2 linked regions of the Lepisosteus oculatus genome follow. The protein of the gene in region 1 purifies or fractionates together with the protein of each later gene. This does not show direct contact. Links are inferred from orthologs where the notes say so. Each region holds a gene or a part of one and is shown on either strand. Other genes may lie near its edges.

Region 1 (8,124 bases):
GCACTTGTCTTCTTATTAACTCTTTCTAGGTCTAGGTCAGATTCGAGGGGTTGAAGTATAGGGGTCGGATCGCTTGAAATAAATTTTCTCTGCTGCCAGATTTGCATACACTGCCATTCAGTGTCCACGGCTCGCTGTGGACGTCCCTATTAAATTACGTTTGCCTCTATGTTCCCAAAAAGAAACGTGATTTTTTTTAATGCAACGTGTTTGGATGTTGGCCTTCAAGGGTTAATTAATGAGTATCAGGTCAAAAATATATCTATACTGTCTAGGCTACAGACCAGGTAGTAAATCCAGTCTATTATCTCAGGTGCTGTAGTTGCGCGGATAAGTTTCTGTGCGTCTTTTTCCGTTTGTAAAGAAAAAGAAAGGATTATTGGCACTTATTGTTCACGCAAAGCCCGCAATACTAATAATTTATCTTCGACAGCCGGTTGGAGAGGTATTTTACAGTGATTGTTTTTGAAAAGTTCGACTGTTTGACCTTGTCGACGTTAATGCTGCAGTGTGGAAAAAGCTATTATTAATCGGGTCATGACAAACAACGGGTACTTCTTGTACTTTGCTTACGGGAGTAATTTGCTGAAAGAAAGACTGCATCTAAAAAACCCGTCTGCAGTATTTCTCTGCAAGGGCAGGTTAAAGGTAATTTCTCAAAAGTTGCACTTTCCCTGTTCTGTTGTAAATTGTTGTTTAATTGTTGCATCGTGTAAAAAAAAAAATAAAGTCCGTTTCCGCCAGGCAGTAAAAAAAAACCGCGCTATGATATCTCGCAATTGCGACATTGTATCTCAGAATTACGACTTCATATTTCGCAATTGCGACTTTATATCTCACAATTGCGATTTAAAATCTCAGAATTACGACTTCATATCTCGCAATTACGACTTAAAATCTCAGAATTACGACTTCATGTCTCGCAATTGCGTCTTCTTTATCTCAGAATTACGACTTTTTGTCTCACATTTGCGACTTCGAAATGCCCACATTTCATTCTCTGTCCCTTTGTTGTTGTAACGGATTCGGGTTCTAGGGCTTGTGCCCTCGCCGCTCCCACCCTAGTTCGTGCCTCCCTGCATGGGCTCGAACCCGGGTCCTGCCAGTTGAGCTAAAGACCTTCTGTAGCCCCGCCGGCATCTTGTTCGTGTTTAAATCTAGAAAGTGTCAATTTAACAGGATAAAATCTATGAACGATCTTAAATGAAATTGCTTTAACTTTATTTGTAAGACAGCATCTATCAACAATTATCCAAACCAATTTCCAGTTTCTATTGCTAAACATAGCATTCCAAAAGGAGACACAAGAAAAGTATAACGCCACAGTGGGCTTATTGTGCCAGATGAGCAACCTACTGTACGTTCATTGCTGGCGCCAGAAGTGATGTCAAAATTGTCACATGAAGGTGCAATTGTGAGATATAAAGTCGTAAATACGAGAAATGAAGTCGGAATTACGAGATTTCAAATCGTAATTCTGACATTTTAAGTCGCAATTGTGAGATATAAAGTCGTAAATACGAGAAATGGAGTCGAATTGACGAGATTTTAAGTCATAATTCTAACATTTTAAGTCGCAATTGCGAGAAATAAAGTAAACGGGCTTCCATATTTTTATTGTATAACTATTGTAGCCAAAAACAAAATCGGTGTAGAAGAGCAAGTGGTACAGACACCTTTCCAGTATTATTTACATTTCCCTTTTTACTAAATATTTGACTGTGTGTCTGAAAATCAAAGTCCTGGTCCAGGTGTTTCACGGCGGGTGCAGGCATCATTGCGAAGCTCCCGCTATGTGGTTGCTCCCGTGGAAACGCTTGCACTGACTTCCTCTTGTACTAATGGAGATTCCTTTGATCTAGAACTACGCGTTAAAGTTTGGACTGAAGAAAGAGGCTGAAAACAATAGGTGGCACGGAGGCCTGGCGACTATTCAAGAAAGCCGAGGCGATGAAGTCTGGGGAGCTGTGTGGAAAATCGGGACTATCCATCTCCATAGTTTAGATGAGTACGTGTTTTTTTTGTACCCCTAAAATACAGTAAACGCTATCACAAACCGAATGTCTTCAAGAAAAATATGTAGTCAATAATTATTAAAAACACATTCCTAGTGGAGATTGTCTATTAACTCTGCCTGATAAGAGCACCCTACTTCGTGTTAGCCACATTGTTAATAAGAAAGTTTGAGAGATAACATATTGTTACTGTCAGTCACTACTTTATATTTTCAGCTTTGTTTATTATTTAGCTCTGTGTTCTCTACAGTTTCTTTCAGCCTTGAAGCCTTTTATGCATTCTCAGGTGCAAATGTGGCAGGACTTGTTTCTGTGGCACAGCAGAGTGTAATTCATTTGAATAATTTTGCATTACTTACAGGCAACAAGTCACTTGTGTTTTGCTAGTTTTTAGTCCTCATGGCATGATGTCAAGGTCAATATTCTCTGCAGAAAACCAAGAGTTTAAATTTCTTTAATAACCTCTTTTCCTAAAAGTGAGAGGACTTTAGCTACAGTAGATTCGGTGCAGTTCTGTTGAATGTGACAAACGCAACTGCTGTCAATCTCTTTCGAGTACCTGCCAAATGCGTGCACTTTGCAGGATAGGAATTCGAGTACAGCTTTACACGGTGCCATTATGCCATGCGTGTGTCTGTTCTGGAGGCAGGAGCTGGTCAGTCTGCAGGTGTACAGCCCTGTTGAGGTGAAGGTGGAAGCAGAAGGAGGAGAGCTGCTTTGTCGCTCCTACCAGATGAATGACTTTGAGATCTGCCTTACCTCACCGCAGTACAAGCAGGTAAGAGACCACACTAGTAACCAATCTAAAGGAGGTTTTCAGGATGGATCTTTTTCTTCTGACTCCATTGGATGCACCAAAGAAAAATAAATACATTATTTAAAATCTGTTTCAATAAAGACATATGTTGTTTGTGTTATAAATAAATAGTGTTACTGTATGTTTATACTAAGGCCTTGTATCTGGAAAAATCCAATATAATTGCAACTGCAAGAACTTGTTTTATTTTTTATCATCCAAATGAAAACATTACACTCAGTTTGCTTCGCATGCTAATAATGTTTTTTTTTAATCTGAAGTCATATAACAAGCTGACAATCTTTTTTTAATTTATTGAACTGTGGAAACTCCACATAGAGCATAGTCTACTTCTGTGATTTAAGAGTTTAAGTGAGTTGGAGTTCATTAGAAATTTTGGATTGGAAGAAGTCTACACGGAGAGTTACTCAGGACAGTTAGATTCTGCACATTCCTGGCTAACGGCTAATCAGGCCCCCCATAGCAATGACCATTTTGCCAATGAGCCAAATTAAATCTTGGGATGCAGAATTTGCGATGACGCTGGGAATCAGTGTTTAACAGTCTGACCCTGTTTTGCCTCACCCACTCACTCCTGTTTTTCGGAAGGTTGTGTGCTCAGGAGCGAGACAGAGCGGCCTGCCTGACGACTACATCAACATGCTGGACTCCGTGGAGACCAATACGTACGACGGGGCCACGGTGCTGGATGACATCAGGGAATCACTGAAATAGTTTGTGTCGCTCATCACCATGGCTCAGTGCTCTGACCTGGAGGTTCTGGGCACTTGCTGTGCGCTCACTCCTTCGAGATGCACCGTCAATGTACACTTCTGGGCTCCCACTTTATTACCAACAGAAAACCCGGGACCTCCTGTATACTGAACACCAGAGCCAACTTGTCATCATGGACTCGTCTTAAAAAGATGCTGGTGAAATGAACCAGCCATGGGAACTGCAGCTGTCCAGTCACTTTCGGCACCTAGTGAAGACGCATCTCTGTAGACGTCACCTGTGACCTCTCACCCCCATACTGTACTTCAGCAGCACTTACTCTGTGTTCCACCAATGCTTTTAATTCTTAAACTGGTAATATAGCGTGCTGATTGCACTAAGTACAAACAATGTGTACTTAAATGCAAGCCCCTTTGCATTACTGTTTTTGCTATAGTGCATGTATATTATTTTAGTTTTTACTGTTATTTTCTTAAGTGAACCTCTTGTCCCTTAATTGTACCTATTGCACAATTGTTCCTTGTCTTAAAATTGCAGGGTTGCATAGTTGGCTACTGCAGACTACAGTGCAGTACTGCCTACAATATACCTGTGACACAATTTCCCTGTAGAAATGTCACACTCTTTTAATAATTCAGTTAAAAATTGCTAGATCAGTTGGAGAACTGAGAGATTGTTTCACCTTTTAAAATTTAATAAAATGGCAAAAGCAGAAATTTTGTTCGATGTTCAGTTTCTCTTTTTCTCTGTTTTTTACTAGTTGTAAAAACTAGTAGTTGTAGGAACTAGTTTTTCCCCTCGGAAGAGCCTGGTCGACAACTTCCATTCACTTGACATCTTCCGGTTTTTATGTTTAAGATTCTGTTTATTTCAGATTCCTGTAAATAGCTTCTTGCCTGGCTATCAAATCCACCTACAGGTCAGGTTGTATTCGCTTAGTCTCCATTTAACTTTGTGCACATATTTCTCGAAAATTAATTAATAAAAATGAACACAATCTGGTGGGAATAATAAACATTGATAAATAATAACTTAATAACCATCAGATTAAAAAAAAAACTTGTATTGTTCTGAAAAAGTGCATTTGTTACATGAAAACCAAGAACATTCTACAAGAATGGTTTATATAAATACAATTGTAATGTGGATACACATAGTATTCTACTTTTTAATCTGTTTTCATTCTTGTCGCTCGGTGGGATGCAGTAAGATAAGTATCGGCGACAATCTCATTCTGCAGTTGACGAGATGTATCGTTTTCAGGGACCTACTGAACAACCTCAGAAAGAGGAGAAAATCAGCTTTGTCTCCCATCTAGCGGAGACCAAGCGAAATCGCAATTAGTTACTAACCCCGAGGTTTGTCTCACCCGTGGAAAGGAAATAATTCTTTTTTTCACATACTGTACAGCGTGTTTTAGCTTTAATCTCAGTACTACCTGACATATTTAAGGAGCTGGTTTATATTTTTTCTATAAACTATCTCCCCAGATTGTTTTTATTTCCTAATCCCAAATATCTCCTGCTAATTGTAAAAACTCCCTGCGGCGCACAGCTCCAGTAGCAGTAACGGCACAATTTAAGGACCTTCGTATTTCACTTTCGCTTGCTTGTTAGGAACGTGTACCAGGCTGTAGTGTTGTTCTTGGGGCGGTGGCGGACGACTTTCCCTAAAATACTAAATACGCCACATCGCCATTTCCTTGTCCGGACGAATGCAGATTTGGAGACAGCCAAAGAGCGAGTCGCCGAAGTCACGTATGTAACGCAGAAAGGGTCAAAGAAGCGTTAAAGTCTCGGTTACTACTGTTTCTGCCGGCCTGGCGAATTAAGGCGGGGGCCGGAGTAATGTAGCTGGAGGTGTTCCTAAATTCTGCTGATAATCACAACTGGGTTTTCACTTCCTCACTTGAGTGAAGTTAGTTGTTATAGGTCCTTGTCTATGTGATAACCGGTAAGTGCCTATTTCTTACATTACTATTAAATATTCCATTATTATTGTGAGGGGGGGAAAAAGGCTTTGACTGTATGCATCAAAACACAACGCGACCAGCAGTTGCGTTTTCCATTCGCACTTGAACTGCGTGGTATTTCGTCCTGTCTCACTGGACGCAGTTCTGTGGTTAAAAGGGGTATCAGCAGAACGGGTGAAACTCATCGGAAATGTTTGAAGGACTAGTCTCTGTTTGGGCCCTGGAGTCCTTTAAGTCCAGGTCTTAAAACAAGGAAGAGTTTAGGCTAGTGATTTAACCATTGAGGACATCAAACTCATTTCACGCAGCAAAAACAATCTGTCAGTTACACCACGAGCGAGTGCTGCACCCTTTTATAATAATACCTCAGTGAAAATAATTTTCCGATTCTGACGCATGGTGCTGACATCCAGTTTTCCCCCTTAAGGTAGTCACTGTTCTCCACGTGTTGTTACAGCTGCCGTCGCCCGGTTTTAAAATCGCTGCCCCCCGAAACATGGTCTTTGACAAATGGGAACTCAGGACTGCTCTGCTGCAGAGAGGCCCGGTAACGGCGTGAATACCATTAGACTCCTCACAGTGCACCGGGAGACACTTGTCAGTCATATTAAGAACACGCAGTGCATCCTAGACAACCTGCTCAGCAGTGGCTTCTTCTGCACCGAAGATGCAGAGATTATATCGCGCTTCTCTACTAAAACCGACCAGGTAGGCTACTGCTTTCTTTCTAATCTCTAATGCCATCCGTAAATTTAAGGTACAAACCATGAAACGCATGACTTTGCATAACAGAACTAAGTTTCTATTCAAGCCAGTTAATGCATGCTTCAGATACCCCCTGTATTTTAAATGATGTTGCTCATTCAGGCCAGTTTGTCTGATTTTTATTTTATTTTATTGGGCATCTCCAGTAAAAATAAACCTGCCAGTATCTATACAGTAGAAAAAAAAAACATTCTGCTCTGGATTATGAGTGGAGAATGTATAGTTTTCAAACCCATGTGCTCGGAGAAAATGTTAAATTCAGCCTCAAAGATATGGCAGAAAATATATTTTTAATAACGAATTAGTCCAGATTTCTCAATGACTCTCACAAATACCTGTATTTAACTGTTAATTAAAACTCAATTCATGTCTTGCCAGGTTCGTAAAATTTTGGAATTGGTGCAGAGCAAAGGAGAAGAGGCGTCTCAGTACTTTGTGCATGTTCTGCATGAGGCCTATGATGCCTATATAGACCTAAGGCCTTGGTTTAAAGAGATTCAGTATCAACCCTCTGACTCTGTTAAGGAACTACCAGTGGTCAACACTGATCCAGGTAAATATTAGGGTAACTAATAAAGGAACACTTAATTAGATGTTGAGATTTTTGGTTTGTGTTTGCAATTGAATAATTTACAGTGCCTGCAAGAATCCTATGTCTAGTTTTCGAGCTGGCTGTAATACGGAGCACACTGGCTGTTTGTAGCTGCCCCTGCATCAGGACTAAGATTGATAATTGGCAACTGAAAACAGTTGAATTCTTTGATTGGGGAACCTTATAACTAAACAACAAAAGTTAAGGAAGTTAGTTTCCTTATCATTTCGAATGTGTGTTGAATACACATTTAAGGTGGTCGTGGTTTAATTAAAGGTGAAAATGAACTGTGGTGGTAGAAGTAACTAGACATACATGTTCAGTGAGCGGGAGCAGGTTGGACAGCAGTATTTGATATCTAAGGTGTGGAAGTTAAAGATACTGGTTTCCCTCTCTTTAGGATTAACGCTCTTTTCTTACTGGCTCAAGGGCAACTTTCTAGCACTAGGTCTGTCTCTGTCTGGACCTGGGTTGAGAAAAATATTTTTTTGTCTCGGCTAAGATTCCTTCCCATTTCTTTTACCAAGTTCCAGCAATGTCCAGCTTGTAGATACCTGCTTCAACACCTAGAAGTAGAGTTTTCAGTTCACGTTTATGTTTGGATTGATGGAGTTTAAGTTTTTTTGGTTAATTTCTTTAGTAAGCAAGTACTGCAAGAAGCTTCGCCATGAGCTGGAACAGGACACCAAGTTCATCACCTCCTACGCACAGAAAGAGGAGACGCTGCTGGATGAGATGTACACGGACACCGTGATGGAGCTGCTGAACGAGCGCAATGAGAACTTGGGTCACCTGGACGGCCTAGAACAGCTGTTCAGTGACTGGGGGGTCTTCAACCAGCTTGCAGAGACCATCTTGGTCCTGGGAGATGCTGGTGTAGGGAAGTCCATCCTGCTGCAGAAGCTGCAGAACTTGTGGTCCACGAGGCAGCTGAACATCCAGGCGAAATTCTTCTTTAAGTTCCGGTGCAGGATGTTCAGCGCCTTCAAGGAGACCGATGAGATTTCCTTGAAGGACCTCCTCTTCAAGTACAACTGCTACCCGGACCAGGATCCGGACGAGGAGGTTTTCCGGTACGTCCTGCTGCATCCGGAGACCGTGCTCTTCACCTTTGATGGCTTTGACGAGATCCACGCCGACATTGACACGAGGAACATTCCAGAGGTCTGCTCACCCGAGGAGAAGACCCACCCGCTCCTGCTGCTCATGAACCTGCTCAGTGGGAGGCTGCTGAAGGGCTGCAGGAAGG
Region 2 (7,771 bases), on another chromosome or scaffold:
CAAGTTCATGCTCAAGATTCCCCTTTTAAAATCAGACTTTCTATATCTGGCTAGCTGCTAATCTATTCTATAATAGTTTTATGGAGAGTTATTGTTGTTATTATTGTTATTGTCGATAGTGATTGCAGTAGTACCAGATGTACTGTAATTCAGTTAAGATCAAAGCAGAAGCAGTACAGAAATATTCAATTGAAAATGATACTTTCCCAAGAAAGCTTCAAGTGCTATTCGCACCTTGAGAAACCACAGTCAGTATACTTCTGAATACACTTCTGTATCTTGTTGAAAAGTGCTCTGTTCAATGAAATTCTCAAGAATGTTGCTCTGACCTAGGGGATGACCTTGAAACACAAGGCAAAAGGCTTGGGCAAATGGATGGGTTATTAGCCAAAGGAAACTTTAAGGTAAAAGAAGTTTCATTATAATTTCATGTTTAAATTAATCAGTTTTTCAAAAATAGTACAAACCTTTATTCCATACTCTGGTTCAGAAGGCTACAGAAAGGAGCCTTGTTATTTTTGCATTAACAGGCAGTCTGTAGTGCTTTTAAAGGCTTTGTTTCTGATTATATTAGCATGATGCAGTTACAGATAGTGCAATTAAGCTTCAAGTGATGATGAAGCAGTTAATGTGGCTTAAACTAATTCTATTAGAATGTTTCATAACTATTGGACAATCATTCTGGACAAAATAAAGCAAATGTACAAGAAAAAGAACAAAGTGGACTGATTACAAAAATAGTGTTTTGAAAACAAAATGTAACTGCAACCATTGTAAATGTGTTTCTTTAAACAAACAAAGACCCGAACATCAGCCTCTTGGTATTCTGGTGAGTACAGCAAAGCTCTGGTAGAGGGATGTTGTACATATGTACAGTGAGCCACCTCAGAAAAATTCAGCCAACAAGTGTTTGTGCTGTGCCCTGGAAAAGAAAAATACAGCTCAGAGCAAACTAGTTTAAACATATAAATAGTAAAAATGAAAAATGATTTTTTCAAGGGTAGCAACATAAATTACTAAAGAAAAAATGAATCTTGTTACATTCCATGCAATGTTCTTCCTTATTTTTCCTAATATTTAATTACTAACACTCATGTACTGCCACTGTAACAAAACTGTTACAAAACATAAATAGATCTGATACAGGCTGATTAAATGAAATGTGGCGTCTACTCTCTTTCCTGACAGTCTGTTTCATGTAGCTGCAATCGTATTGGTAACCTCAGTATAAACCTCTGTAACTCTGTGAAAAATAATGAAATCCCTTAGCTTCCTCACAGGAGTGAAAAAGCACCTCACAGTTTTAGCTTTCTTGTCATTGAAATTATTCATAAATTTTGAAAAAATTAAGATTTAGAAAAGAAACCAGCATTCAACGCTATTCAAATTCAGTTTAAAGCTTTCGGGAAACACCTACACAGAACCTATCAACATAATATCACCATAGTTTGCTGTGTGAAGAACTATTATGAATGTTGTTGACCCATCTAAAGAACTGATAAAAGAACACTGTGGGAGCAACGAAATTTGTCACGCACACAAGTGGAACTATAACATATATTTATATATTTTAGTGTATAATACAAAGCCTACCACAGGGTGGGGCCATTGAACAGAGTCCAGCTTCTCTGTTCCTCTCATCTGAAGGCTCCATTGTATAAGGAATTTCCAGTTTAAAGAATGTAACCTTTATAGTTTCTACAGAAAATTACATACAGTATTACATATATTTAAAATTCAATTCAGTGAGGAATTGTCCCTAGTGGGTCCCATCATTCAAATAATACAGTATCATTTTAAACAGAAAACAGAAGTGACAAAACCAACAGAACAAAACCAACCTTGCTGTACCCACAACAAACATTTTATTTTTTATTAACTTTTTCTATCTATCCATCCATTTTCTTCATCCATTTCAGGGTCATGGGGGAGCCAAAACCTATCCCAGCAAGCAATGGTTGCACAAAGACACAAACACAGACAAATACACATGTGGACCAGGGCCAATTTTTCCCAGAAACCAATTAACTTATTAGTATGTGTTGTACTGTGGGAGGTAACAGAAACAGAGCACACGGAGGAAGCCCACACAATCACAGAGAGATCATACAAACTCCACACAGATAGCAGCTTAGATCTGGAATTGAATTTAGGGCCCCCAGTGCAGCGATGTTAACCACTGTGCCACTGTGCAGCCTCCTCCCCACTTAATAAAAATGGGGGGAAAAAAAGTGAAAAAACAAAGATTGTGATTGACAAAAAGGCAAAACCAAGGAGAGCAAGGGGTTGCCAGTCCTGGTCCTGAAGGGAGAATGTCTCTATGGGTTTATTAGGTCTTAAAGCAGCAGCACCTGGAGTTCTGGGAGTAGCTGTTATAACGGTCCAATTAAGCCACTAATAAGCTGATTCAGGTCATTCCAAGCACAACTGAACTGAAGACCTCTAGAAAACCAGCCCCCCAGGACCAGGATTGGGAACCCCAGCATGAGAGGCTTTATCAGGCCAACAGTCATAAAGCCCAGGAACGGAGAGAACCAATTTCTGTCTGGACCTGGACTCCTCGGAAGACACACCGGTGTTGGCATCGGTCACACCTCACCAAAGAAACACTTCGGGATCAAAGTATACAACACTGGTAACTTCTGCCATGCCTTCTGGTATTTGGTTCTCCCTGAACTCTTAGTGATTTGATTGTAATAAACTCCCCACTTAATTGGGCTATACAATCAATATATATACTTCTACTGTTACCATGTCTTTATTCATTGAGGATTATGATTCACATTTTAGCTTATTTATTTTTCATTCCACCCCTCAACCCCATACTGTGGTTTGCATTGTTATAGTTTTCTAACATTTGTAATGTTTGTGTTCAAAAAGAAATTGTCCATTCATATTGCTTTAGCAATTTCTGTCATTCCTTTGAAATCCACTCTTTGAATTAAATTGAAAAATCATGTAATCCACTGTATAAATCCTGGTGGTCTGATATTTCCTAGAACCAGGAATGAGGATCACTCCTTGTAGAAATCTGTACCTTGTGGAAGTTTGAACAAGTATGTTCCACGCTGTTAAAGCCCCTGACATTTTTCAAGAATAGACTGGATGTGATTTGGGTTAAATAGCTTCTAGCAGCTAAATAAATTGTGGTCTTGTTTCTAATGTTTTTCTTACCATTTGTATCATTTGCATATACTGCACGCAACAGGTGAAAGGCAGGACATACACAGACTCAAAGCCATGCGTGCACAGGGAGAATATACAAACTCCACGCAGATAGTACCCCAGGTCTGCAACTTGCAAGTCAACCTAGGACCCGAGCGCTGTAGAACATTTTATCTTCTGTGCCATGAGTATTTATTAAATCAAGCACCTATTCAGAAAAAAAAACTGAACTAGTCTACAAGGACCATTTCATAAAATTAAAAATGTATTAGCGATGTTCGAGCGTTGTTTCGGTGATTCTATCATATCCAAATTTAACCATACAGTGTATGGCATAAACATATTCAGAACGGATAGTGCAATGGGTGTACGATAAATGTGTGCTCGGGGTATATGTATAAATCACACACGCAGACGATCTAGTGAATGGAAATCCCTCTCGTGGCAGCATTTAAATATACTAATTATACACTCTAACGTCAGTAAAGTCGAAAGTTGGAATTTCCCAAATATCATACGTAATGTTGTGCAATATGTCAGCCCGTTTAAAGAAAAAAAAAACAAGTTCCATCTCCCGTTTTACAACCTCAGGGTTTGTATATCTGCAGTTCAAGAAAACGATTTTATAAAAAAGGCACTTAAATAATTATTTTTTTAAGTTCCATCAATATACTGTACGTAATAAAGCAGGCCTACACCAAAAACCACTGTATCCTATTACCCAGCTCTAAGAGCTGTTTTGCATCACAACACGCTGGCATCGTAACACCGGAACAAGCTGTCTGAACTCTCGGTCACAAGACAGGGCTGCCGTGAGATCCTGCAAATGAGCGGGTGCTGTAATGTGCTGGCGGTCTGCTTCATGTGAAGGATGTAAAATTATGCTGAATAAAATGTGCCGATTGTAAATTAACGGTCTAGTTATAAAACCCTTATAGAATAAAATAATCTAGTGCCGTCTCTTCTAAGTGACAAAATGTACTGTACGGCTGTTCGTGAGATTTGGAAACTACTGTACGAGTTTGACCTAAGTGGGATGACAGTCTCGCTGTAATGAAACCACTTCGATATTGTAAAAATGAGCATATAAATTAACTCTTCTCACATGACACATACTGGAAACAAGATGAGAGGAGAAGACACGCACCATATAAAATCAAGCGTTGAAACTGTCGTGTCAGGAAAGTCGGTTATGATGATATAGCGCCTGCAAACCAAAACCCTCTTTAGTGCTGTTTATCCTTTTTGCCGAAATAGCAACAGTGCGTTTCATGGCATGTGCTGAAACTCGGTAAAATGAGATAAAATTCTGCTTTTCAGTGGGCATAAGTCGAGAATCTGAATATATCGACGCAAGGTATTGCGTGATGGTTTCTCGATTGTACGGTAATTTTTACATTGTCAAACCCGGAAGATACTTGCTTAGGAAATAACCTGTAGGACAACTATGCAGCCTTAAGCTGTATAATACATTCGTCCAAGCAGCTGGGAGGCATATTTTGTATGACGCGGTGTGTGTGGTTTAGAAATACACATCGCGAAGGCGCAAAAACGCAATAAATCGGTTAACATCGTTCGCCGCAGAAAACATAGGGGTAAAATAAATATAAAACACCACAACCCCCCGACCATGTCTGCCGATTTCATTACTTTTTCCGCTGAAGATACGACCACTTCGGGATTTGCACCTCACACCTGATTGCCTTGACGGTAATAAGAAGACCTGGCGGAAATGGGGAAAATATTCTGTTTCTGCGACGTCTGCTTATTTTAATTTGGTTTTTATTCATCACTGTATTAATTAGTGGAGTTGGACTGATTTTTTCTTGGTAGTTTACTATAACTAAAACGTATTAGTATTTTTGTCTGAGGTTACGATTTCATACTCGGCTTTGTACTGTAGTTTTCAATTCCGCTTCTCCTTACTGGATTGCCCTCCCTTTTTTGAGGCCTTTGCATTTAAATATTATTATTACTACCATGGAGCATTCGGGCTGCGTTAATATTTGCAGCCTGACCAGCACTTTGCCGGTCATCCCCTATCAGAAACTGACGGACTTGCATTACTTGAGCCGAGGCGGCTTCGGCACCGTGTTTAGAGCCCAGCACTCTGACTGGAGAACCACCGTGGCCATCAAGTGCCTCCAGCTGGACTCCCCGGTTGGAGAAAGGTGGGTTAACCGAGTCGTGAGCTTGGGGAAAACAACACGAACTATGTAAGCAGAAAAACAAATGCTATATTAGGCTATTGAGATGGTTTCGACGGTATGGCTTTTGAAGTGGCCTTAATTTGACCAGTATGTTTTCGCCACTGTCGACTTAAAACATTTTTTTTCTTGCGAAGTTGATTCGTGTTTCTTATGTCTTTCTTGTCAATAGTTGTACCTATTTGACAGTCACTGCTTCTTGAGATTTTTTGTAATATTTCACATATTTTTTATTGATACGGAAACACAGTAATTCGTGTAAAAATTCTCTAAATGTTTGGAGGCTACAGTATGTGGTGAATAACGTTTCTAGCCCATCTAGACCTCCAGTTATCTAGCAGGCAGTGAGTTCAGATCTGATTTCTCAAAAAGGAGGAAAACACTACTGGTGCAGGATGCTCGGAGGTCCGTGGTCTAGGATAAGATTGGTGTAAAAGCGAGAAAACGTTTGTCTTCAGTTTAAAGACAGTGACTAGCAGACCAGTCACGCTGCGCACGTGCGTCCAGTTGTTGGCTGTCAGTTCGATCGACAAAGTTCTACTGTTGTCTGATAGTCATCAGAGTTAGTTGCCCGTTTAGGCAGCGAAAATTGGTTTAATCCATTTAAACTTTCATTTACAATTCATTCTGTGAATAGTAACAGTATTAAAGAAAGACATATTCTAAAGTAGCATTAATAGTTCTTTGAAATACAGTGCTGCTTGAAAGTATGTGAACCCTTCAACTTTCATACGTTTTACCCAAATTATCTTTAAAATGTTATATCTGAACTCCAATATTTAATGACAATACCCAAAATAATGGACACACATATATATATCGTTTCATTATCTATTAAATGTTTATTTAACAGAAACTAAGTGATTCCTGTGTGCAAAATTAATTCAATAAGCAGTGGCACATCCTTTAACAGCCTTTAACAGCTATGACAGTCACCAAATGTTTCCTATAGTTACTAATGCATCTGTTACATCTGCATCTGACTCCGCCATTTCAAAACAAAAGGTCTTCTTAATGTATTCTTTGGTAGATTTCCTGAAATGTTAGGGTTATTGTCATGTCATTGGACCCTTTTTTCAGCTCAACTTCAACTCATATCATATTATCAATATTTTGGTATGACTGACTTCATAGTTCCTTTAGTGATCGTGGGCCATCCTGGTTCATGGGCAGAAAAGCAGCCTAAAACCATGACACTCCTACCAGCACGGATAAGGTTTTTTTGGTGGTAAGTCTTTGCTAAACAAAGCATTTTTTGTTGCAGCCGAAAAGATTAATTTTAGACTCATCCATCTAGAGACCATTCTTTGAAAAATCTACAGGGTCATTCAGACGGTCTTTTCAAAGACACACAGCTATGTTCTTTTTTTGAGAGCAGAGGTTTTCTGTTGGCTTCCTTCCGATGAATGCCATTGCTATTCAGCTCATGTTGTATTGTTGAGGAATGAACATGGACATCATCCGCAGCAGGAGAGGTCTGGAGATCCTTGGATGTGTTCCTGGGGTGCTTTTCCTGTATGATGTATGATGTATGTCTTGTTACTCTGTGTGGTCAGTTTAAAGAACGTTCACATCTAGGTAGTGTTTACATCTAGGTGGAGTCACCATGGTTTTAAATGTCCTCCATTTGTAGATTATTAGTCTTACAGTTGACTGATGAAATTGCTATGGTTTTATAACCCTCTTGAGACTATTGAGCTCTAACAAAACTCTTACTGAAGTCGTATGAGGTCTCTTTAGATCATGTCATGGTGTATTTCACTAAGTTTAGTATAATACAAAATACCATGATCTAAAGAGACCTCATGGGTAGTGAGTATGGGTAAGACCAAATTTAATAGGTTTCTTACTTTTGTATAATAGAAGGCCTCCCAAACTTTGTCCTGGTGATTGACTTTTTGATTGTTTAAATTGGTACCTAATTATTTATTATTCTTACCTTGATAACTGAGCTAATGAACCTCCGCTTACTTTTGCACATGCAGTAATTCGTATCTACCTATTTTTTTTTCTATTACATGCATCAAGTAAGGACTAGTTTTGATTAAATGAGGATTTCATAGTAAAAATGTAACATTTAAAAAGTTGCACTAGGGGTTCACAAACTTTCAAGCAGCATTATATATTCATTAATTTATGTTATCAGTAATTGTCAGCAGGTTATTTGCATTTTATGAAGCCAGGTCAGTGCTACTTTGGATTTCGAATTTAAGATAAGTGGAATAGACAGTACCTTTAGCAATCTTCCTCAGTCTGTCACTGTCCCCATTGGAGAGTATCTCTCCACCGTACTCATTTTGCTTTCAACAAATTGAAGTTATTAATGGAAGGCTGGGAGGAATAAAATGACAAGTCAGTCTCATACAGCTGTACCTAATCACCATCATCACCAAAGTAGC

Evidence for each region. Proteins that work in one complex are often made in the same cells at the same time.
Region 2: the proteins of nod1 (region 1) and ripk2 purify together in Homo sapiens (affinity purification with western blotting; 4 studies listed by BioGRID and IntAct, with this or other methods). This does not show direct contact. The link is inferred for Lepisosteus oculatus from reciprocal best matches to the Homo sapiens genes NOD1 and RIPK2.

The regions. Positions count from the first base shown.
Region 1 is NC_090705.1:41,585,798-41,593,921, forward strand, and holds the start of nod1 (nucleotide-binding oligomerization domain-containing protein 1), read left to right. Parts: upstream 1-4,900; 5' UTR 4,901-5,303; exon of another isoform or gene 5,304-5,499; intron 5,500-5,975; 5' UTR 5,976-6,028; coding exon 6,029-6,226; intron 6,227-6,661; coding exon 6,662-6,836; intron 6,837-7,515; coding exon 7,516-8,124. Other genes in the region: gamma-glutamylcyclotransferase-like, read left to right, coding at 538-648, 1,863-2,008, 2,661-2,793, 3,421-3,546. UniProt on the Homo sapiens protein: Pattern recognition receptor (PRR) that detects bacterial peptidoglycan fragments and other danger signals and thus participates in both innate and adaptive immune responses.
Region 2 is NC_090701.1:25,469,187-25,476,957, reverse strand, and holds the start of ripk2 (receptor-interacting serine/threonine-protein kinase 2), read left to right. Parts: upstream 1-4,510; 5' UTR 4,511-5,145; coding exon 5,146-5,336; intron 5,337-7,771.